Arabidopsis thaliana: one gene and its partners. The protein of the gene in region 3 interacts with the protein of the main gene of each other region in a pairwise test. Each region holds a gene or a part of one and is shown on either strand. Other genes may lie near its edges.

Region 1 (10,737 bases), on a different chromosome or scaffold from region 3:
ACTATTTGAGAGAGGAACGACCTGAATCTTATGATAGAAGAGATTCAACCACTCAAGATCACAAAAACTATCACATTCTCTTTGAGACAATTGTGTTCAAAACTTTGGTTACCTTGTTAACTATGATACGATCTGCATAAGCTATTTGTTCAACAGCCTCATTGACAACACCTTCGGGTTTGACCTCGTCTAGATGCAAACGAGCATGCTTAGCATCAACTAGAGTAACAACACCGTCCAGTTTGACATCATTGAAAATTTCTTCCTCGGCATAAAAGGTTTGGATAATCGGTGCCGGGTTTGCCAATCCTAAAAAGTGAAAATAAACATAAGATAGTCATTACTCATTCCCCAGATTCTCTAAGCATACTAAATGAAAATGCCCCCTTTCCCAACCTGTAGTCTCTATGACTATATGATCGAACTTTCCTTTCTTGGTATTGACTAATTCTCCAATCATCCTGACAAGATCACCCCTAACAGTGCAACAAAGGCAGCCATTGTTGAGCATCACAATATCCTCAGCTCCAATAGATTTAGAAGCAACAAGTGACCCATCAATGTCAACTTCACCAAACTGAGAGAATTCACATGAAACATGAATTAGAAAGCAACACCATTATAACTGAATTCAGGCGAGGATAATAAGCTAACCTCATTCTCAATCACGGCTATTCGCTTCCCATGATCTCTGGTCAGTATATGATTCAGCAATGTTGTCTGTGGAAAAACAAAACATTGCAGTATAATTAGTCCAACATTTCTTTTACTTAGCAGGGCTAATTTTAAACCCTAGAATAGATATGAAATGATGAGAAACACTGACTGACCTTGCCAGAGCCCAAAAAACCGGTGATAATAGTAGCCGGAATCCGGTTATCTGGCGGAATCTTAGTGGTGACATCAGAATCTTCAGTCTGCGTAGCTGAGGCGGAGACAGATGAGAATCTTTGACGGCGGACCACCGGGGAATAGAAGAAAGACGGCGTCGTTCTGACGGAAACGGTGGTAGCTCTGGGCCTGGAGAGAACAGAGACGGCGGCAGAAGAAAAGCGATAGTTGAAGGCGGCAGAGGAACGAGGAGCGGTGAAAGAGAGGAAGGTCGTAGCAATCTCTAGTGTTGATAGCGTCGCCATTTTAGTTAAAGAAAGCAAGCGAGAGGTCAATGGCGATTGGCGAGTTTAAACCTCGTCCCACTCTGTAGCTTCTTCTAGATACACACACCAGATAATTTTCACTCGATTTTTTTTCTCTGTCTCTTCTCAATATTTTCTCAAAATTACTATTTTTGAAGATATTTATCATTGTAGATATATAAGTCTGTGGGCCGTGGGCCGCATAGGCCTTAGTAATTCTTCCTTCGTATCTCAAAACGAATATCCAAACCTATCTCGAAGCTGCACGTGGCATTCAATCCTTAGTTCGTGCTTAGATTCGGAGTGCAAAATTGCAAATTCGTCCTTTTGCAAAACTGATATTTCTCAAGACCAAAATATCAGAGGCAAGCAACATCGAATTAACCAATTAAGAAGAACTTGTAAGCTATTAATTCATTTACCTTGTTAGAATGCTTTCTTCCCCCCACACAAACAAAACAATAATAAATCGGAAAAGATCTAAAACCCCCACAAAAAAAACAGAGTAAGAAACTGAAGCAGATCATCTCTGAGGCTGGTCAGAGGCAGAAGCTCCAACGGAAGGTGTAGCCGTGACAGCGCTGGCTGAGCCATTTTCAGGCGGTGGAGCTACTCCCCATTTACCTTCTGACTCAAGCGGCTCGAATATATGGACCCCTCCGTCTGACAGACCCACTGCAAACATGTTGGATTCTTGCGGATGAGCCGCTATCACCAGTGGATGGACATTCGAGTTGCTGCACAAAACATCAACATGAAGACTCAAGATTCATGATCCAACATTGCACTAGTTTATATTCATTTCATTAACTCACCTGAGAGAAGCTGGCAAATATGCAGAGGGATTGACTCTGCAACGCAATCGAAGGTTTGCAGAGCTGAAGACGCATATTGTAGCGTCCATGAAACTTGTGTATATCAATTGGCTATCACATGAGAATGTGGCATGTGTTATTGGAGCTGCTGATTCACGCACAGGCCACTGGAATCAAAATAAAGACATTTCTTTCTTCTATAAGGGTTACTCAGATGCAAGGAGAGAGAATGAACATATATAAAGACTAAAACCTGTTTCATGCATTCAAGCTTGGTTGTTTCGTATATAGCGAGCTGAGTTTCATGGACCACAAGGAAGTGTACTTGATCTTGATGAAACTGAACACGCGTGTCTGACAAAGAAGACGTGGATCTTCCCTGTGGAATTTGCAGAACCTTGCTTTTCTGCTTCTCCCATCCATCCGTGTTCCATACGCAAAGCTGCATACAAAAACCAAAAGATTCACACTAAGACTTCTAAGGATTTGGATTCTTTATTACAAAACATGAGATGAATCAGCACCTGAGCGTCTGCTCCAGACGAAACCAGAACGTTTAATACATTGGAGAAAGCGAGGCCGGTTATTCTCTTAGAATGTCCTTTAAGCTTGCTCTTAACCTCATCAACACGAACATTGTAAATCTGTATTGTACTGTCATCCATCCCGATCGCAATGATATTGTTATCTTGAGGGTGAAAAGCAAGAAACGTTGCGGCAGGAGGAGGCGGCATGAAAGTAGCCATTGTCTGCGCTTAGCCAACAACACAATTAAATGTAACAGATGAAGCATTGTTTGCATACATTAGACATAGTGCTGTCTGTAGCTGGGATTTTACCTTAAACGTCATCATATTAAACAAAGAGATCTTTCCTCCCGATGCTGACATCACGTAGGAATCATTTTTCGATAAAGCAAAACAGGGTACGGCTTCTTCTGGATTAGTTTCAGCCACATCGTTTGTCATTAAGATCCCGCTCGCTGGTTGCCACTGCTGAGGAGGTAAAGAAGCCGTTGCCTACACAAAATCTCAAATTGAATTTCATCATGATTTCAACTCTTTTGGCGATCTTAAAGGAAGATTTTAGACCATAAGTACCTTCCCAGTTGCATTACGGTCATTTCGCTGCCACTTCCATAGCAGATGAATAGCATTTGATGCCAATGCCAAAATTGCATTTCCCGAATTTGTGAAAATCAATCTCGATATCTGCTCAAGTTTTGAGTCATTAGAATCAAGCCATATAAGTACAGTTATGTCAGTCTATGTGTTAGTACCTTGGTGACTCTCATATTCTCAGGGAGTCTCAATGAACGGCACTGAGAGGGTTCGCCGACTTCAGTAAGCTTCCATACCTTAGACTTATCATTTGATTCTTCGGTAATCACTGGCTTCACATCCACCATATTCCGCGAATCTCCATTCTGTTGGAAAGGTAAGTGATCAACAACGATGATTGGACCCAGACCAAGAGATAGAGAAACTGACGGAAAAAGTATCGATTTTCGTACCATTCCAGGGATGGAAACGACAGAGGCAGGTCTCTCTACCATCGGAATGCTGTTGATTGCAGGCTGCAAATGTACATGAAAAATAAAGTGTTGAAGAAATTTCAAATTGGGGGTTAGTAATTTGCTTGTTGAAGATCCAGTGAGCACAAAATTCAGTACCTTGGAGGATTCAGAAGATAAGTTCTCGACTGTGTGCAATAGCCTTAGACCATCTGAGTTTGCCATAACCTTAATCATATTGTCATTTGCGGAAACAGCCAAGAGAGAGCCTTCCTTGTTAAATCTGATCCGTGGACTTGCCTACAAAACATAGAGAGCCATGATGGCTGCAAATGAAAACATTCGGTTCCCAGGGAGAATCGAGGTATTTGTTTGCATACCTGGAGACCTCCATCAGCATCAATGGCAGTCAAAAGCTGTATGGTGTCCATATCCCAGAACTTAATGGAGAAGTCGTCACCCGCAGCGAGATAACGGTTTTTAGTAGTATCAAACTGGACAACACCAAGGGAACGCTTGTGGAATCCTTGATAAGTTCTCTTCACAGCTCCTTCGCTTTCATTCCACTCAACTATGAACGATTCCCCATCTTTACTCGTCCCACAAGAAAATAGCCTATCCATGTGAATATAATAAAAAATAGATTTTAAATTTATTATCACTTCATGACGATACAGAACAGAACCACAACATAAAGATGATGAGAATCATGTTATAACCTAGTTCCATCAGCACTGTAGGCCATCGTTGTACACCAGCGACCAGGAGCTTCGTAGTCAACCCGAGAACCCATATTATCATATAACCATGCTTTTATTTTTCCGTCAAGAGCAGTTGAAAAGATAAACTTAAGCAGAAGAAGAAATAAACAAGTCAAAACCAAATAGAAACGAATTTCAACTTGTACTTAGCAAAAATGAAACCGTATAAATATTGCTACTTTACCTGAATGTTTTCCTTGTAGTGAGGGCAGATAGAGTAAACAGGAGCTTCATGGCCTTCAAAAGTATACCGTTTTACACCCGTTGCAGCATCCCAGACCTTAATTCACAGAATTGATTAGTCTGTTTTTAGAGTTCCAACAAAAAAAAAAAAAAACAAGAGTTAAGGAAATGAAAGAAGAAAAAAAATACTGAACCTTGATGGTTTTGTCATCACCACAAGTAGTAACACATAGTTGCTTGTTCGGAGTGGAAAATGCAATGTCATTGACACCGCCAACATGAGCATCAATCTGAAATAATAAAAAATGATTTTCATTACAGGAAATGAAAGAAATACTCCTAAAATGTTGTTGTAAACTATATCACACCTCAAGGTGTTGCCTCATGTCTTCACCACCGTGATAAGAGTATAGCTGTACAATATGTCTCGAATAAGCAACTCCTGCAGTTGAAAACGTGCGCATATGAATACTCAAATCGGTTGAAAGAGCATTTGTAATCTCAAGTCTTACCGAATAGGGAACCGTCCGGGCTCCAAATCACACGGTTGACAGAAACGACAGGTTCTTTCACCAAAGCAGCCTATAAAGACCAGAATTGTTGGTCACTGAAGTTTCAAATAGATATTAGATATTAATATTCTGGTTGATTTTCACAAAAGAAGACACCTGCAAGGGCATCGAACATTTACTCAAGTCCCAAACTTTGAAAGTCTTCTGGACTAGACGTTCTCGAGAACCGACTTCCCAGAGCCCAATATCCCCTACATTCGTACCAACTGGAACAAAGAAAATTGAAGCAAGAAACTTCTGGTTTTACAAAATTTCTGATGATGTATGTTACATGAAATATGCATACAGACCAAGAAACAGACCTAGTAGCAGAGTCTGTTTAATAGGATGGAAATCCATGCTCATGGGAGATGAGCCTTGGCTCAAAGTTCGTGCAACTGTCTTGGGCAAGTCATCAGGTGCTTTGAAGGTTTGATTATGACCATGAGCCTGCCCCGGGAATGTCATTGGTAACATGTTCACACCTAGACTCACCTACATATGGGGAGAAAGAAGAAATACGTTTAAAGTCTAAACTAGTACTACCAATTATGTAAAATTGGTATTGATAAGAAAATATATAATATTAATTAAGATTTTTCTCACCTCGTCAGAGATTCCCATAGGTCTGGTTCGCTTTGAGACATGGTCTGAGTCACCTGATGGATAGTCTACAGCGGAATTAGAAGGAGGAGTTCTCGGGTGTTTCAAGGCTGCTAAGAACCAAAAAGGAGAACATGTTACATAGATCACAGGTGAAACTTAAAGGTTCTGAAAAAAAGGCGAGGATAAAATTTAAGACTATAGTTCCACACAGCTTTTATAAAGAAACACCACATTTGATAAGCAAATAACCTTGGATGGATGGAGCACCAAGAGCAATGGGTCCTCCAGACACAGCTGGATGTGGGACAGAGGAAGGACTAGACATCCAACCAGCAAGAGGTGTCGGAACCGGAGAAGGTGTTGGTTGAAAAGGCTAAAGACATAAAGGTAAGTCAAGCACGGCATGTAAAGGTAACTATAGAGCTAGAACCAAAAGCAGTAGAAATGGCACTTATAGAAAATACGAAAAATCAGGTGGAAATTGACCTACCCCGTGTGCGCCTAGAGGAGGAAATCCCTCGGCTTTTGGTAATGATCCAAGAAGCGGATTGTTGACAGGGGATGGTGCTCGTGCATCATTTGGTAGGCGGCAGGAATGATCGACAAAGAGAGTCTTAATATCAGGATTAGGCCTTGGGTTCTTACAAAGCTGGTGTTGCCAATTTAAGCTGCAGGTTTATGTAGCCACATAGAAACAAGGAGTTAAAGTAGCTGACAAGAAGAAAATTTGTTGAAGTGAACAAGAAAGGACAAAGAATACCTCTGATTAATCAGAGTCCTGAGGCGTGAAGTTCTAAGGGTAGGAAACTGCAATTTATCACGGAATAAAGGATTAGCTTCAATCAACTTCTTGAGTTCCACCAACATGATAGCTCTGGCGGACTTTGTGTCCCCATACTTGGATAACTGCTCGTTCTCCCTGAAGTTTTCTAAGGTCAAGAGCTGAGTGATTTCCTTGAAAAGCTCCTCATTAAAAGTGGAAAACACTTTCAAATCTTTGACTAAAATATCGACAGCCTTGGGACGATCATGCCTAGATAGAAGCAGCAGCAGGTGTGATTGATTGGCAATATGAAAACATTTGATTCTTGTTGTTGTTGAGAGACACAAGTTACCTATCCAAGGCCTCGAGATACTTCTGCTTCCTAATCTCGAAGAAAATCTTCATGGAGTATCGATTATCATCAACTTTAGTAAAACCAGAGAGATACTTCTCAACCTCATCCCAGTTACCATTGTGCACCTCATCCTCAAAATACTTCATATTGAAGAAAAACCCAGATTCTTGTTCAAGCCTAATTAATAATCAATCAAGTTAATAATAATGCCTAATAAAAGACAAAAAGGAAAAGAGAGATCGGACATACTTATGAACAGTCTCTTTAAACTTCTCTTCATCTAAAAACTGTAAGATCAAGAAGACGAGCTCTCTGCTCAGAGAAGACATGATTGATTTTGCCACTCAGTCCGATAAAGCTATCAAGTCAGATGCAGAAAAACCCACCAGATCTGCATATCAATATAATGGCGACGATGATAACCTTACAAAACCATCAAATCATCCCAATTTACTGGGTTTCAGATATTCCTCCATTTAATTATTATTTTTAAAAAATGAAAATAGACACAGCCTCTTAATTACACAGTATATAACTAGATCTTTACAACTATCCTCCGGAAAATTCTCCAAAAGTCTCTATTCCGGCGGATTTAATTAGTGTTTAATTGGGCTACACAAAAATTAGGTCTTCCTAGTATTATTATTGTCCACCGAATTAAATATAAAGCTTAAAATGGCCATCTTTTTCACTTCCATGAGACAAAAACAAAAATCAAAAACCCAGAAAAGCTACGATTTAGATATTAAACCAAAAATGAAAGACCTAGATACGTTACTTGCCATGAAGAAGAAGAAGACGATCGATTTCAGAAACAAAGGCCAGAGCTTCAGTTTCTCTCTCCTGATATTGAAAGAGGCCAAGGATTTGGGTTTTTTGGACTCTCCTCTCTCGACCAGAAAGTAAGAAAAAAACTAATGGAAAAAAAAAAAACAAGTTTTCTCTCTCTCTCTCTCTCTCTCTTCAGGCTTATTTATACGAACATTAAAATCTTGCAGAAATGGAGACTTTAATTTAAAACCAAAAAATAAAAAGTGATTTTAATATGCGAAGGTGACGGATAACGGAGTCTAATAAGACAATGCACCTATCACACGATAAGGGAGCTGATTTTGATAAGCACGTTGACTTATATATAAGTACAGATTAAAGTTTAAACCAGCATATACGACTTAGCCGGCTACAATTCTCGACGTTATCGGCTCAGAATCTCTAGCTGCTAGCTGTACTCCAAGTAGACATGATCCTCTGTGTCACAACATGAGTACACCCTCGGTGAGTGCCGTCGATCTTGTACGATGAACCTTAAAGGATATTCATCCAACGGTTTGAAAGCGAAGTAGCTGCGTCCCCACATTTCCCTCATAACACGACAAAGCTTTTCCTTCTGAAATGCATCTTTAAGTTCCATTGCCCTTGAAAATGACAAATATTTACCTAAATTGCCATTTTTATTCTTGAGATGCGGTACTCGTTGAACAAAAATCACGTGATTGAGAGATAATGGAAGAGGTTATCAGTTAAATTCTCCCGACATGATAACTCTTAAGCCTTCTCGTGATTTGGAGTCGTTAATAATTTAGTGAGACTCGTTTAATTTCTAATCATTTAACTGTTTTGGATTGTTTTTGTTAATCGCATAATGTGATGTGAGCTATATATATATTGACTATTGAGGATTATAATCGAATTTATTTACTCGATGACTAATAAAATGATTTTGTTTGTTTATTCACAGCGTAATTGGTATTTTCGTTATATATATTCGACGGTTTAATTACAATGAACCAATATGTTAATTTTATAATGTGTCTAGTGTTATTTTATATTGGTCTTTCAGACTTTGACAAGAAACATCGAGTTTGACGTCATTACCGTAAAGTATTTTGGCACCAAATGAAGATCAATATTATTTGTTTTAATTGCTCAAGAATGATGATGGTTGCTTTTGCTAAAGTTATGGGTGCACAAGAAAAGTATATAACTTTTGAAAAGCACATTTTTATTCTTTTAATTTACACGGTAACACGAGTATCTCTACTTTTCTAGTAATGCTTACACAGATTGATATCTTGATTATTTGGATATAAGTTCATTTGCCGATTTAGCTTGCTTTTTTATTCAAATACTGATTAACATGGAATGCAAGAAAAAGGAAAAAAAAACCTTCTTCTTGCCATGGCGAGTGAGAGGACTACTAAAAAGAATACAGTAATTCCAAACTGATAAATATGAGTTTTTACGTGTGGAAAAAAAAAATTTGAGTATTACCTTAGCTCTGCAAGATATATTAAGAATACAGCAAATAAAGAAGAAATCAAATAAGCATATTAGATTTGTTTTCACAAACTGAAAAATCCTCAAATACATAAAAAGAAAAACACATAAAAATCCAAACTAATAAATATGATTAATGATTCACTGATTTTCGCCTGAACTAAATTATGGTCGTAAGTTTTTTGTAAAAAATTGTTAAAAAAACAAAAACTGTCTTATCGAGACTTATAACAAATGATGAAAATCTGAAGAAATAATATATATTTTTCAAATAATTATGTGGTTTGACATGTCAACGTCTTTATTATCAATCAGAAGACAGTAAGGAACATTAACAATGAAAAGGGAAGTTATAAATTAAGATGTCAATATCAGACAACTACTCGTCAATCCATTATGATACGTTTCATTATGAGTCACTAGGTACATGTGCATGATGTAATTATCACTTATTAAACAGATTATAATTTTCAACTAAAAATTCGATTTGGTTTCTAAATAATATTTACAAACAATACAAATCATCAATGACAAAAAAATTGTTTGCTACAACGTCAAACTATTTTAAATGAGTAGATTCTCGATAGATCCTCTACAATCTACATACTTTACTTTGAAATAACTCTCCACTCTCCAGATCAGAACACAAATTGTAATAGATTAATAGCTCAAAAATAGATGAGTACTTCTCTTTAGAAATATAAAAATCAGACTAACACGTTGAAAATTATATAGTACTATGTTTTATTTTGTAAACCGGTCATTAAAAGTTGTGGAGAAGTGAATGGTGGTCAGTGTTCACTGCATCTTCAATATTTTTTATACATTCTCCGGCCAAAAAACAGTGCACGTTGGTCCCATCTGGCTGGTCTGTTAAAAAGTCTAACGGGATAATTAAATTCTTACGGGAGATATTACTAAATCATTCAACGATGCTATCAAATCACTTTCAATAAAAAAAACAAAGTCAAATATAAAATATGTTTTCAATTAATAGAGCCACATACCGATTTTTTTTTTCCAAAGAAGGCATTGATTTTTCTAATAATTGTATTTATTTTAAATATTGGAATCTACAAAACATTATTTTAGGTCAGTTGGTCAATGCAATTGGTTAGAAAATCTGTAACCAATGAAAGGAAAATAGTGTCAAATTATACTAGTGAGTATGTTCATAAGTTACTAAAGTCCACTAAGTATTAATAAAGCGCACTATGTGAAACTACTACAATTATTATTGGCTATTTTTGTTTGTACTACTTGTTTTGTTTAATCATGGTTAGTTTTTTAAATTTTAAAACCAAACTTTAAGTTGATTAATAAATAAATAAAAACGTAGATGAGAAGGGTGTTGGCTAATGGCTATTGGTTACTTTCCACTTATGTATGTCCTCTCTTCTTCTCTTAAAAAGCTTAATTGCTTTGCTATTTTGATACTAGTACAGTCTATTCTTCAATTTATCAGCTTCTTCTCTTCTCTCATATCGCGGTAATTAAAGGCGATATACTGATTGCTTTCTGGGGAGAAGTTGTCGGTTGTCTTTTGCCATTATAATTATAATGTGAATTTTTGTAAGCCATAATTATTTGCACTATTTATTTATTTAGCCCAAATAAGCACGTATGTATATATAGATAGACTAATTTCCACGTATCCAAGACATTGCCGCTAACTATTTTTTGTTGGGAAAATTTGATTTTTGTTATATGACGACGACAGCGACACCATCAAATTTGTTTATTTATTTCGGTTCTCTTGTTATCCCAACGCCGCTTG
Region 2 (5,505 bases), 300 kb from region 3:
TCCGGCACATCCACCACATAACTCTCCACCACCACCGTCTTCTCCTCCGTATCCGCCGCCACAAACGCCATCGTTTTCGACCGGTAATTAACCAAACGATGATCACCACCTATAATGCTAATCATCATCACATGAGACTCATCGTCAAGTTCATCTAATCTCTCTCGGCTGAACTCCGCTGGAAGACCGGAAACCACCGTCACTTCACGGACGGAGCCTTCTCCTCCATCGCCGGAGCTTAGATTGCACGTTTTCACGAATTGTTTGTAGGCTTGAGGGTTATCAAACCGACGTAGAATTGACCAAACTAGAGATAGTGGAGCATCTATAGTTTGTACTAGTGTGGAACCGCACGTATGATATTTTTGAGAAGTTTCCATTTGTGTATTGCTGTTTTTTTGACGAAATTGTCCTTTTATCGACCGTTGTTTTGTGTGACAGTATCTTCAAACCTTTTTGAAGCTTCCATGCATTAGTGTTCGAGTATTTATACGAGAAATATCTAAGAACAATGCCGACTAAAAAAAAATATGAGTTGTCATTTTTTGGTGTTTTCTGCAAAATATGAATGTAATATCAAGTAAGAAAAACTTTGTTGATTTGTATAACATAAGATGATAAAAAGAAGTTTAAAGTGTATATATATTTTAAAAGAATACATTGTAATATGCACATAAAACCAAAAAAATGCTTTAAAAGAAAGACTGATTAATCAGTGTAGGATGTGTAGCATATGGTGACAATATATAGGCATATGGCTACATATTTGTCCGTAAAATATATTTAAATAAATTGTAAACTTTAGAATGCACATTTGTTTTGTAACGTCATTGTAATGAAGAATGTATTTCGGTTAAATTTGGAGGGTTATGACATGGATTGTGGAAAAACTAGTGGCATGTAATAGATCCACGTTTTCGATTTCGTTCATACGAACCACACTTATTTACCACACATTTATAGACATTGTTTTTGTTGATAAAAACTTGACTAAATGAAAAAAAACAAACAAAAAAAAAACAAACAAGAACAGATGAGAGAGGGAAGGACATATCTTTAAACGCCAAGTTGAGAACAGGCCCAATGAGCCTACAGATTAAAGATCCATTTGAAGCCCAAAATAGCATCACTTACTCCTTCAGAAGGTAAAGATAATTGAACCGGAAACCGATAAGCTTAACCAAATTGTATTTCTGTTTAACTTTTATAGGGTCCCTTTTTCTTTTGTTAACAATTTGAAAAGGACCAAATAATTGAACCTTCGATCGTAATCGCAATCTCACATTTTCAAACTCTTATATTTTAATCTGATCAAAAATAAAAATAGACACACAATAAAATAAAGTTAAACAGAATAAAACGTTTACGAGTTCAGTCGATCAATATGATTAGAGATGAAAATAATTTCGGTAAGACTTTTGCATGCAATCTATCAAGATTCAAGGCCGTATTTTAGCATATGTAAGTAGGATAATCGAACAATCCTAATTTTGTTTAAGAAAATCTTAAGTAAATATGTATAAGTGAGGTTATTTTTTTTTTTAATTGTTTACCAACATATTAGCAAAATGTTTTTTAAATATTACCTTCAAGTAAAAATAGTTTGAAATGGCTCTTCATTCTACTAGTATGTAATTAGTTTCTTGTGAGAAAAAGTGTAAAAATAAGTAGAAGTTGAACAATTGAGCTACAGCCAAATATAACAGAATTTAAACTATTTTTCCTCTTTAAAAAGAAGCTGTTGGAGACGAAGGGTTAATTACATTAATTACCATTGTATTTCAACTTTTTGTATTTTTTTTTTGTGCAAGAAAAAAATGAATCATAAAATATACTTTTTATTTTATAAGCGAACTATGTTTAATTTCTTCACTTGCACATGCTAAAAGACGCTCTTTGGCATCAAGTTTCAACTGAGAAGGTATAAGACACTGAACGATCAGAGTCTGCTTTAGAAAGCTATTTCGCTGGACACGTTAGTACTCACAAGTCAATTCCTGTTACAACAACAAGAGTTTTAATCAAAAGAAAAAAAAATGATTTTAACTTTTTAACTTGAATGATTTCAAAATTTGGCTTATATCAATACATTTACAAAGGAGAGTTTAGAAATGGACTCAAACTAAAATTGTATATACTTTTGGGCAAACAGAATAATGACATTTAAGAAAGAAACTTAAACAATTATTTTTAATTTCACAAGACATATAAATACATAATTATACCTATATTATTCCCAGTTGAATAAGCATATTTTGCTAGTTGCTATATATCCAAAACCTCGTAAAAATGTAAGAGTTTTACTTTTAAATTCTAAAAACTAATACTATTATTACAATCCCACGACTTTTACAACTTTAAGTGAGCTCCATCATCTTCTCCGATAACTTAGCCAATGACCTAAGATTACACCCAACGATAGTATCAGCAAACAACGTAGTTTCTTCCTCAGTATTTCCTTCCGGCACATCCACCACATAACTCTCCACAACCACTGTCTTCTCCTCCTCCGCCGCCACAAACACCGTAGTTTTCGACTGGTAATTAACCAAACGATGATCACCACCAATAATGCTGATCACCATCACATGAGACTCATCGTCAAGTTCATCTAATCTTTCTAGGCTAAAACTCGCCGGAAGATCGGAAACCACCGTGACTTCACGGACAGAGCCTTCTCCTCCATCGCCGGAGCGTAGTTTACAAGTTTTTACGAAATGTTTAAATGTTTTTGGGTTATCAAATCGACGTAGGATCGACCATACTAGAGGTAACGGAGCATTGATAGTTTGTACTACTGTCGAACCGCATACATGCTGTTCTTGAGATGTTTTCATACGTGTTTGTTTGGTGTTTCACAATTTTGTTTTCCTACCGACAGTTGTGGTTGTTGTCTTCAAATATTTTACGTAGTGGCAAGTTTTTTTTAGTATTTATATATGAGAAAAATCTATAGGTCGACAAAAAGATGAGAAATATCTTTAGAACAAGGCCGACTGAAAGAAATACTAAAATTATGAAATTCTGAACGCATAACAAGTAACAACGAAAATTTATTTATATATTCTATATGACATTTAACTTTGGAATAAAATATTTAGTTTAAGTCCATTGTGATATTTTATACATGCACATAAATACCAAAATACTTTAACGGCCTGAGTAAGTATCAAACAGTGTAGCATAGCAAATTGTATACAAAATACTGTAAGGAACAATTTGCGGTTGTGGTTGGCGGGTTATATGACATGGACTGTGTTAAAAATAGTGGCAAATAATGGTTCCACGTTGGTTTACACGAATCACACTTATTAATCACACATTTATAGTGTATTATAAGAACCAAATAGTTGACAGATGTTAAAAGAAAAGAAAGTAGACAAAAAGGAAAGGAAACAAATAAGAACAGAGATGAGAAGTTAGAGATTAGAACTTAGACTTAATCCAAAATGGCAAGCTCAGAAAGAGGCCAGATGAGCCTAAAATTTATAGATCCATTTTAAGCCCAAACTAGCATCACTCTTTTACATTAGTTTTTAACCTTCAGGGTAGCCGATAATCGAACCAAAACCGATATAAAAATTAAACCAAAATGTGATTTCTGTTAATATAACTTTTCTTTTTCCATCTCCAAATTTAAATTCACGGATATAGACTAGCAAAAAGAGCCAAAATCACAATCACAATCTCACATTCTAAAATCTCTGACGATTTTGTTTCTTTAGTCAAAAGAAAAAAAAAATTATCGAAAAATTAATCAAGGAGACATTTACGAGTTTAGTCAATATAAGAAATTAAGTTGGTTTCAGCAAGACTTTTAATTGCAATCTACTATTGAGTTCTTATGAGAGATAATGTAAAGAAAGAAGAGGAAGTTTGAATAGTTAAATTAAATCGAATGTTATAGATTAAAAACTATTCCGGCTAGCTAGGTTTTAATCTATAGTTATATTTTTTCTGAAATGTATGATAAAGACTACAAGATCGTACGACATATAATTTGGCTTATATCAATACATATTTATAAAGAGTTTTAGAAATGGAGTAACCGGGAATGATTAATTCATGGCGTTGGAGATTAACTCCTTCAGACATGTTTCACAATAACATGGAAGGAAGTAAAAGGGTTCATCTTACTGGTTAGTTAAACCTTAAATAACATTTAATTTATTAATTTCTAGATAGATAAACTATGGTTCTGGAACTACATGAAATTTTTTTTAACATTTAAAAAAAAACTACATGAAAATTTAGCAAGGAGAATATGGAAATTTACATTTGCAAATACGTCTGCTATTGGGTGCATCATAAATGCCACACTCGCAATGAAAAGGGTATTCTTTGATTTTATTAAAGCCTCTTATGCAAGTTTTGTTTCCGTCCCACCCACAATTTTGTTCGAATACTTGTGCCTTTTCGCACACCTTCTTCACTCTCTTGGCCTTAGTCTCCACCGATTTCACCTCTATTCGTTTTTTATTTTTATCAATCATACATACACACAACAAAAATAATGTCAAAATTGTAAATAAAATGATTATTTAATATATAAAAATTGATAATGCAGTAAGTTTTTTTTTGTCTTTTAAACCGAGGATACTAATCTAAATCGAAAGAACAATAGTGTACATTACGTACCTCTCACGTGACTAAGAACACAAAATATGAGAACACAAGAAACCATGAACAAGGTAGTAGACTTCATGATTTAACAAAAATGGTAAAAGCTACTGTCTTTGTTACCTCTCTCTTGTAACAAGTGTGTTACTTCTCTTTAACGGAAACTGCCCACACCAAAAATAGTTATTTAAACTAAATTAGGGGAAAAGAAAAGGGACATGTAAGAAGATCAAGTCAACCAGATCTACAAAATTAGCTGTTTAATCTTAAAAGGAAAAATAATTGGATGGAGGAGCTTGTCTGCGTTCTGATTACAGGACATAATGGATGCAACATTTTCATAAATTTATTTTACACCTAACTTAAATTTAACAAAACTTCAAAAATTACCAATATGATAGCCAAGAAACGAGGAAAAGACAGCAATGTTACATTTGGAAGTTTGATAAACATTCAGAGGCTTTAGAGCATCCTCATTGGTGAACCACTTTTTTGAGTGTCTTGAAACTAAAGTATTTAATATTTTAATATTAAAAATGTTAAAAGAATATACATGGAGGGATGGGTCTTAATTCTTTAAATTCTTTTTAATTATAACATTAATTCATCTTTATATTTAAATACCCTATATTTTTATGATCAATGAGAATGATTTTAGAGGTTAAGTGACAAGAATATCCAAAAATATTATATCCCTTGTTAAGTTGTGTAATGTGTTATATACATATATATGAGCACATGCATGAATTATCAAGAGATATATATAAAAAATTAGAGGACTTGGGAGTCCGAGCAGATCTCTTTCCCTTCTAAATTTGGTTTTCGATCTAAATCCAATATTCAACAGTAAACTTCTACTCATTGATTTATTTTTTATTTTGTAAT
Region 3 (6,796 bases):
TAAACATTATAGATCTTAATCTTATGACCTAATAATCCCTACCTTAATCTCTAACACACATTATACATGTTACGAGATATTTACGATTCAGACGAGATATTTAGAATTTTAATTACTGTATCAACGTATGAATATTAATTTATTGGCTAACTACTTACTAGACCAAAAACGCTTTCACCACGTAAGGACAATATTATTTACAAAACTAATATAGGTATCCGTGTAAGGGTGGTCATTGATAGATCCGTTTATTCGTATAGGCAAACTTTTTCGAGTATATTTTCCTCTACATATGCTTTTAGTTTTTTTTTTTTTTTGGGGTTAATTCTCTTTTCCGATCGTATTCCCGCTGACGATACCATGGGTTAAAGTGAACGTACGTAAAGTAGTGTGGGAATATTCTCACTCTACCAAAATAATAAGGTAACACTTTCATAGAACGAGAACCTATGTTACCGTCAACTCAAGTAACTATTTTGAGCTTTTTGCCACTTGGATTTCTCAATTACGAACAAAATCAAACCAACAAAAATGATTTTACAGATTAATACATAATAACGCTTCAGTATCTTTTTTCTTTGACAACATGCATTATCTGAGTTTAAATTTGGTTAGTACTACATCGATAATTTACAAGTACCTATGCTAATAGTCAAAATTCAAATTAAAAATCTAATATCCGAATAAATGGAAATCACGTATATATAACCAATTACAAATAGTTTATAAAAATTCAACCTTTCGTGAATGATTTTGCTATGTATAGACTAAAACCGTGTCAAACCAAATATATTAGTTGGCCTACTGTTCCACCAATATGGATGTCGGGACATACCATACCATCCCTTTCTACATTTGGTATGTTTTCACATTTCTTTTCATGGGAAGACTAAGAACTGGATTACATTTTATTTTTAATATAAATTAGATATTTTATGACCTCTAAGTAATAGTTGAAACCTGGATTCTATCGAGGATGATCGATCTTTCTTTTCTATTATATTTTTTGTTACAATTTTTGGTTTTACTTCTTAAAAGAAATGACTTACAAAAACAGAGCATCAAACTTTCGGGTTTGGCAACTCTGGTTTTTAGCAATTAAAACAACAAAATTACCGAGTGAAAGAGTCTCAAAACCACGAAAAGAAATGTCTCGCAGAGTAATTGTTGCGTATTACTCGGTCAACTTGTTTCAACAAATAACACAGAAGATTCGGTTCTTACGTTCTTGCCATTAGGTGTAACTATAACAGCTTGGGTTGCAATAAGACGAAGGATGGATTATTGGTTATCATGTCGAGGAGACTCGAGGCAAGTTGAGAGTCCCATGATGTGGCATCTCAATCATGATGTGCACCATCGTCACAATTAAGTCATAGCTATTGGGACAACGTTGAAACAATTTGTCTCTTGTTTTCACATATATTTTACAAAGAGGGAAAGTGTTATCTTATCTCCAACAATTCCCAAAGAGCATAAACGGGAGAGGAGGGGTAATCGATTCAAACAGGCGATTCACATGGTGAAAGCATGTTTTGGGACTGAATCCGAGAACCATACTTGATGATACCAAGGGATCGGACTTCCAGAAGTGGCTGCATGTTGTTTGTGAGACATGGATTAATGTCAAGTAGCAGAGGAAAACCTCAACATTGTGGATTTAAGCACCAGAAAACTGCCAACCCTCTTCATTAGTAGCGTTAGCTAAACACTAGTCAATGTTAGAAGCTGTCCATAAGGAATACCAGAAAAAGCATATATTACCGTCTTTAAGCTTGAAATAAAAGGAACCATAAACCATTTCTCCTTAGGTTTAGGAGTTGTTGCCACATGGAGAGCTCCCTAGGCTCTTCTTCATTAGTGGCCAAAAACATCTCCATTTCTTTTTTTCTTTTTTTAAGTTAACTATGAAATTTTAAGATTATGTGACGTATCATTCGAGAAGTCATATGGTTTATGTTGACTGCATTAGCTAATAAAACTCTACTTAAGATTCATGTTAGTGATGTGGAAATTGAGTCATCGTGTATAAAGGCATCCCTTTTCCGAATGCTATGAAAAAACCTAAATTGATCCAACTAAATGGGAAACCATGAACTGCAACTTTATATTATCGGGATATTTTAGGCGAAATAATAAACTAAACTCGAGAATATGAAGTTACTATGTAATTCCAAAATTGTTAAAGAAGAAACTTTATATCTCAAGCATATGACAACTAACTTCTATATAAGTGGCTCTTTGGTCGTTCTTAAAGACATGAACATATAAACAAATTAGAAAATGTTAAAAATATGTTTTGGTCCGATTAAAGCAGCCGCGGGTCCACTAGCTTGTTCCGACTCAAATAGTTTTCGTTATCACTTTCTTCTCTCCATTTTTTTCATACGACATAAAAGTGATATAGTTACACTAAAAAGTTGTTTTGTCCTACGCATAGTGACGTGTAACAATATTTTAAAACTCAATATCACAGTAATATATGACTGGGAAAGTTACAACTTGAGGTGTAAAAGTTGCACACATTAACATATCTATAGGCTATAGCATTGGTACATTTTAAAAAACTATAGCATTTTTTTTACAAAAGATTACATTGAATTATTAGTAAATATATAATATACATAAAAACTGATTATGTTGTAAATCACATAATAATTGTATGATTGAAGATTGAAATGATAAGCCTATTATCGAAAATAAAATTAGTCAAGGAGAAAACTTTGAAAGATATATGAATGAGTTGTTAATTGCTTGTGCATAAGTGTGAACATGTAAATAAACTTTTGAATCTAGGTAGGTCCATTTACTTTGGAATTGTTACATAGAACACTTCAGACAAGTTATGTCTTAATCACTTTATCGGTCACCCATAATTTTGTAAAAAATAAAAGCCACATTCTAACAAACTTTTATAATTCCATTTTACATTTATATACAAATCAATATTCTACCAACTTTGTGCTATAAATATTCATCACACCACAACCATTCAACACTCTACCAACCTCTTCTAATTTCTACAATCACTCTCTTAACTCTTTGCTAAGCACTTCTTGTTAGGAAAAATCATTCCTTAATCACTCTCGAAGCTTTCACACCAATATTACTTCCTTACTACATCTCTTCATTTTAAAGATTTGTTAGTTACTTTTTTTTTTTGTTATTGTACGAAATAATTTGTTTTCTTTCAGACAATGTTCTTGTCACACAAAGAATACAATCGACTTGACTTGCAATTTTTTCTAAACAACAAATCCAGCATCGAGAAAAGTTTCTATTTTTGGATTTTCCAAATATTAACAGTTATAGCTTCGTGACTTCAAGAAATATCCATTTCAAGATTATTTAACCTTTTTTTGTCTAGCAAGTCATCGTATTCTACTTTGTTGTTGCAAATGGGAAGTTCATGTTTACCTCCAGGGTTCCGGTTTCATCCTACGGATGAAGAACTCATCGAATATTACTTGAAAAGAAAAGTCGAAGGTCTCGAGATTGAGCTTGAAGTCATTCCCGTCATCGATCTTTATAGTTTCGATCCTTGGGAGTTACCAGGTAATATATTAACTTCCAAAAATCTATTTAAAGTATTAGGTAACTTTTCAAATTTTTAATATTTTTGTGTTGTTACTTTTAGACAAGTCGTTTCTCCCAAACCGGGACATGGAATGGTACTTCTTCTGCTCAAGGGACAAAAAATATCCTAATGGTTTTCGTACAAATCGAGGAACAAAGGCTGGTTATTGGAAAGCAACCGGAAAAGATCGAAAAATTACTTCTCGTTCATCTTCTATAATTGGTTATAGAAAAACTCTAGTTTTCTACAAAGGCCGTGCCCCGTTAGGCGATAGAAGCAATTGGATCATGCATGAATATCGACTATGCGATGATGATACATCACAAGGATCACAAAATTTAAAGGTAACTTTATAATTTGATCAAGTTCTAAAATGGTTTCGTTTCTTTTGATATTGAGAGACCATTAAGAAATGAATGTGTTTAACTATAGGGAGCTTTTGTGTTATGTCGTGTTGCTATGAAGAATGAGATCAAAACTAATACGAAAATCCGAAAAATTCCAAGCGAGCAAACAATCGGATCAGGAGAAAGCTCGGGTTTATCAAGCCGAGTAACGTCTCCTAGTCGCGATGAAACAATGCCGTTTCACTCATTTGCCAATCCTGTATCTACTGAAACTGATTCTTCCAACATTTGGATTTCACCTGAATTCATCCTCGATTCTTCAAAGGTAATGTGTACACAATTCTAAACATACTGATAACTAACTAAACCAATGTTTGTTAATCGTATACCGGTTTTATAATTTTTGTAGGACTATCCTCAAATCCAAGATGTCGCATCTCAGTGCTTCCAACAAGACTTTGATTTTCCGATCATCGGTAACCAAAACATGGAGTTTCCAGCGAGTACAAGCTTAGATCAGAACATGGATGAGTTTATGCAAAACGGTTATTGGACAAATTATGGATACGATCAAACCGGTTTATTCGGTTACTCAGATTTCTCCTAGACGGAAGTATTTGGTCTCTCTTTACGACAAAAACACCTTTTATCGTTTTAAGTATTGGAAGACTTTTGGCATTGGTCTAAATATATGAATGAGTTTCATAATTCTGTTTTTTTTTCTTTTACTTTTTATGGGATTATTATATTTTATATGAAAATGTTTACCGTTAGTTATATATCTTATATATATGAAGCTGTATTTTATATTCCATATGGATTCTCTTAAAAGTCTCAATAGGATTATGCACTACTGTCATCCTTCAACTATCTATCTCTCATTAGTCATTTCTATTACAATGATTAATTGGACCAGTGTGGTCACCACACTATTATACCATCTTTTTGTGACGTCACTATATATAACCTTTAGAATAAACTTTTGTGGAAGTGATAAGTTGATAACAATGACTCTGTGTAAAACAATCTTTTAACAAAAGGAATCATGGCACCAAAAATACTAAACACTTATGAAGTTATGAACAACATAATTTTTCTCTAATACAGAAAAAAATAGGATTGAAAAATTGCATCTCTATAATAAAAATAAAGGAGCATAATTGAAGTTATAGGATATCAAGTTTCCCAAAAAAAATCTCATCGTTTGACCACTTGGATGAGCTTTATAAAAAAATTATTTTATTTTGGTATTAAAATGTAATGTGATTTTCTAGAAGTATTAAGATTAATAAAATTATTTGTAGGCATATAACAAATTGGGTCCATAGCTCAGTGGTAGAGCAATTGACTGCAGATCAATAGGTCACCGGTTCGAACCCGGTTGGGCCCTGATATTTTTCTTTTTTTATTTTTTACAACTTTTTGTAGTTTTTGCCAAAATTTACCAAGTAACCAACACAAATCAAAAAGTAATCTTTTTTTTTACCAACGTAACTCTTCAAATTAACACCTCGTGTTACAAAATTCCAGAAATTAAAAACATAACAAAATCGGTCGCAACAGAGAATCGAAATCACGTAGTAGAAAACCGAGACAAAACCAAAATAAGCCGTATCGTAACGATACATTCAATCTACACAACCACTAGATTAACCGGTTCTCAATTCGCACCTCCACAGTCTTATCGTACTCCTTAAAGCAGGCGATTGTTCCCAATTCCTCAACCTCATCAATCACAGTATCAAGCCTCGCAACCATTTCCACAAGAAGTGACGCAAACGCAGCAAATGGTAACGCTTCCGAAAACTCCAAACTTTTCATAACCGCGATTTTGCTCAATTGTTTCCTCAATCTCCTCTTCTCTCCGGTCGCCGCCGATTTCTTCACCGATCTTAAGCTAGAGAGTGAAACAACGCTGTTTAACGGAAGTGGTGATACGGTGTCGTTCTCTTCTATAGTTTCTCCCAAAACGCAGCCGTTTGTGTTATTATCGTTGTGATATGAAACGGTGCCGTTTGAGTTAGTTTCGTTGTAATATGAAACGTGGCCGTTTAGGTGCTTGTTAGTGATGTTACTATGAAGGTTAGAGCCTAAGAAGAGCTTAGGTTGTGACTTGATTGTGGAGTTGAGATCTTTTAATGCCGCTTCGAGACTGTCGGAGAGAATCTCCGACGAGCAATGACGTCGGTTTTGAATGCTTTCGGAGAGTTCTGATAAAACTTTGCAGATTTCTCCGGCTAGTCTAACACAAGGATCTTTGAAGAGGACACGGATAGACCTTGGAGTCTTAAAAAATTAACATAAAAACATTATAATAAAACTATATGCTATAATTTTAATTTCTTCTAATGCAAATAAAAGGTTGAATAAATTACCTGAATCTCGGTTTGTAAGCAACCGTGAAGAGCAACAACAGTGTAACCAAACTTGCGAAGAACGGATCCAACTTTGATATATTGTTGGGATGGAAATTTGTTGCAACGCCTTGTGTGTCTTGGCTCCCACTTTGCATACATTGCCTATATAAATATGTGTCAATATGTTCAATATAGATATTGGGACGATATTCATATACAAAAATATCAAATGAATACATTTATAAATGTTCATTAGAAAAGAAACATTTTTACACAAAGATATTCAAGATATATAATTTAACTAGTCGGATTCGAAATAAAGATTTTGATTTAAGATGTCTTACGAGCGCTTCGTCGGCGGATTTAGAATCCAAAACAGTATTATACCCGTTGTAGATTAGGTCTTCATCATCAGATTCAGAATCTGATGTTTCGTTGTCTTTCAGCTTCTCCTCAAAATACTCACTCACACATGCTAACATGTATATAGAATAAAAAACCATTTATACTATGTA

The links.
Region 1: the proteins of NAC096 (region 3) and TPR1 interact in a two-hybrid assay, tested with the Arabidopsis thaliana proteins (one study listed by BioGRID).
Region 2: the proteins of NAC096 (region 3) and PYL12 interact in binary tests that used the Arabidopsis thaliana proteins (3 or more experiments, as listed by UniProt).

What each region holds. Positions count from the first base shown.
Region 1 is NC_003070.9:30,259,435-30,270,171, forward strand, and holds TPR1 (TOPLESS-related 1), read right to left. Parts: upstream 7,692-10,737; 5' UTR 7,466-7,691; intron 7,107-7,465; exon of another isoform or gene 7,075-7,106; 5' UTR 7,013-7,074; coding exon 6,933-7,012; intron 6,861-6,932; coding exon 6,681-6,860; intron 6,599-6,680; coding exon 6,326-6,598; intron 6,234-6,325; coding exon 6,056-6,233; intron 5,939-6,055; coding exon 5,815-5,938; intron 5,676-5,814; coding exon 5,566-5,675; intron 5,455-5,565; coding exon 5,283-5,454; intron 5,187-5,282; coding exon 5,077-5,186; intron 4,991-5,076; coding exon 4,921-4,990; intron 4,851-4,920; coding exon 4,777-4,850; intron 4,699-4,776; coding exon 4,603-4,698; intron 4,506-4,602; coding exon 4,410-4,505; intron 4,312-4,409; coding exon 4,184-4,311; intron 4,080-4,183; coding exon 3,845-4,079; intron 3,765-3,844; coding exon 3,624-3,764; intron 3,528-3,623; coding exon 3,465-3,527; intron 3,378-3,464; coding exon 3,231-3,377; intron 3,163-3,230; coding exon 3,052-3,162; and 12 more. Other genes in the region: PTAC17 (plastid transcriptionally active 17), read right to left, coding at 113-309, 397-577, 655-720, 831-1,136. UniProt on the Arabidopsis thaliana protein: Transcriptional corepressor. Activates TIR-NB-LRR R protein-mediated immune responses through repression of negative regulators such as CNGC2/DND1. Negative regulator of jasmonate responses.
Region 2 is NC_003076.8:18,604,207-18,609,711, forward strand, and holds PYL12 (PYR1-like 12), read right to left. Parts: upstream 2,906-5,505; 5' UTR 2,838-2,905; coding exon 2,358-2,837; 3' UTR 2,192-2,357; downstream 1-2,191. Other genes in the region: PYL11 (PYR1-like 11), read right to left, coding at 1-380; SCRL27 (SCR-like 27), read right to left, coding at 4,251-4,465, 4,639-4,705.
Region 3 is NC_003076.8:18,902,281-18,909,076, forward strand, and holds NAC096 (NAC domain containing protein 96), read left to right. Parts: upstream 1-2,977; 5' UTR 2,978-3,398; coding exon 3,399-3,555; intron 3,556-3,637; coding exon 3,638-3,921; intron 3,922-4,009; coding exon 4,010-4,249; intron 4,250-4,333; coding exon 4,334-4,531; 3' UTR 4,532-4,772; downstream 4,773-6,796. Other genes in the region: AT5G46600 (aluminum activated malate transporter family protein), read right to left, coding at 5,569-6,210, 6,300-6,443, 6,626-6,756. UniProt on the Arabidopsis thaliana protein: Transcriptional activator involved in the positive regulation of abscisic acid (ABA) responsive genes. Acts as a positive factor of ABA-mediated responses.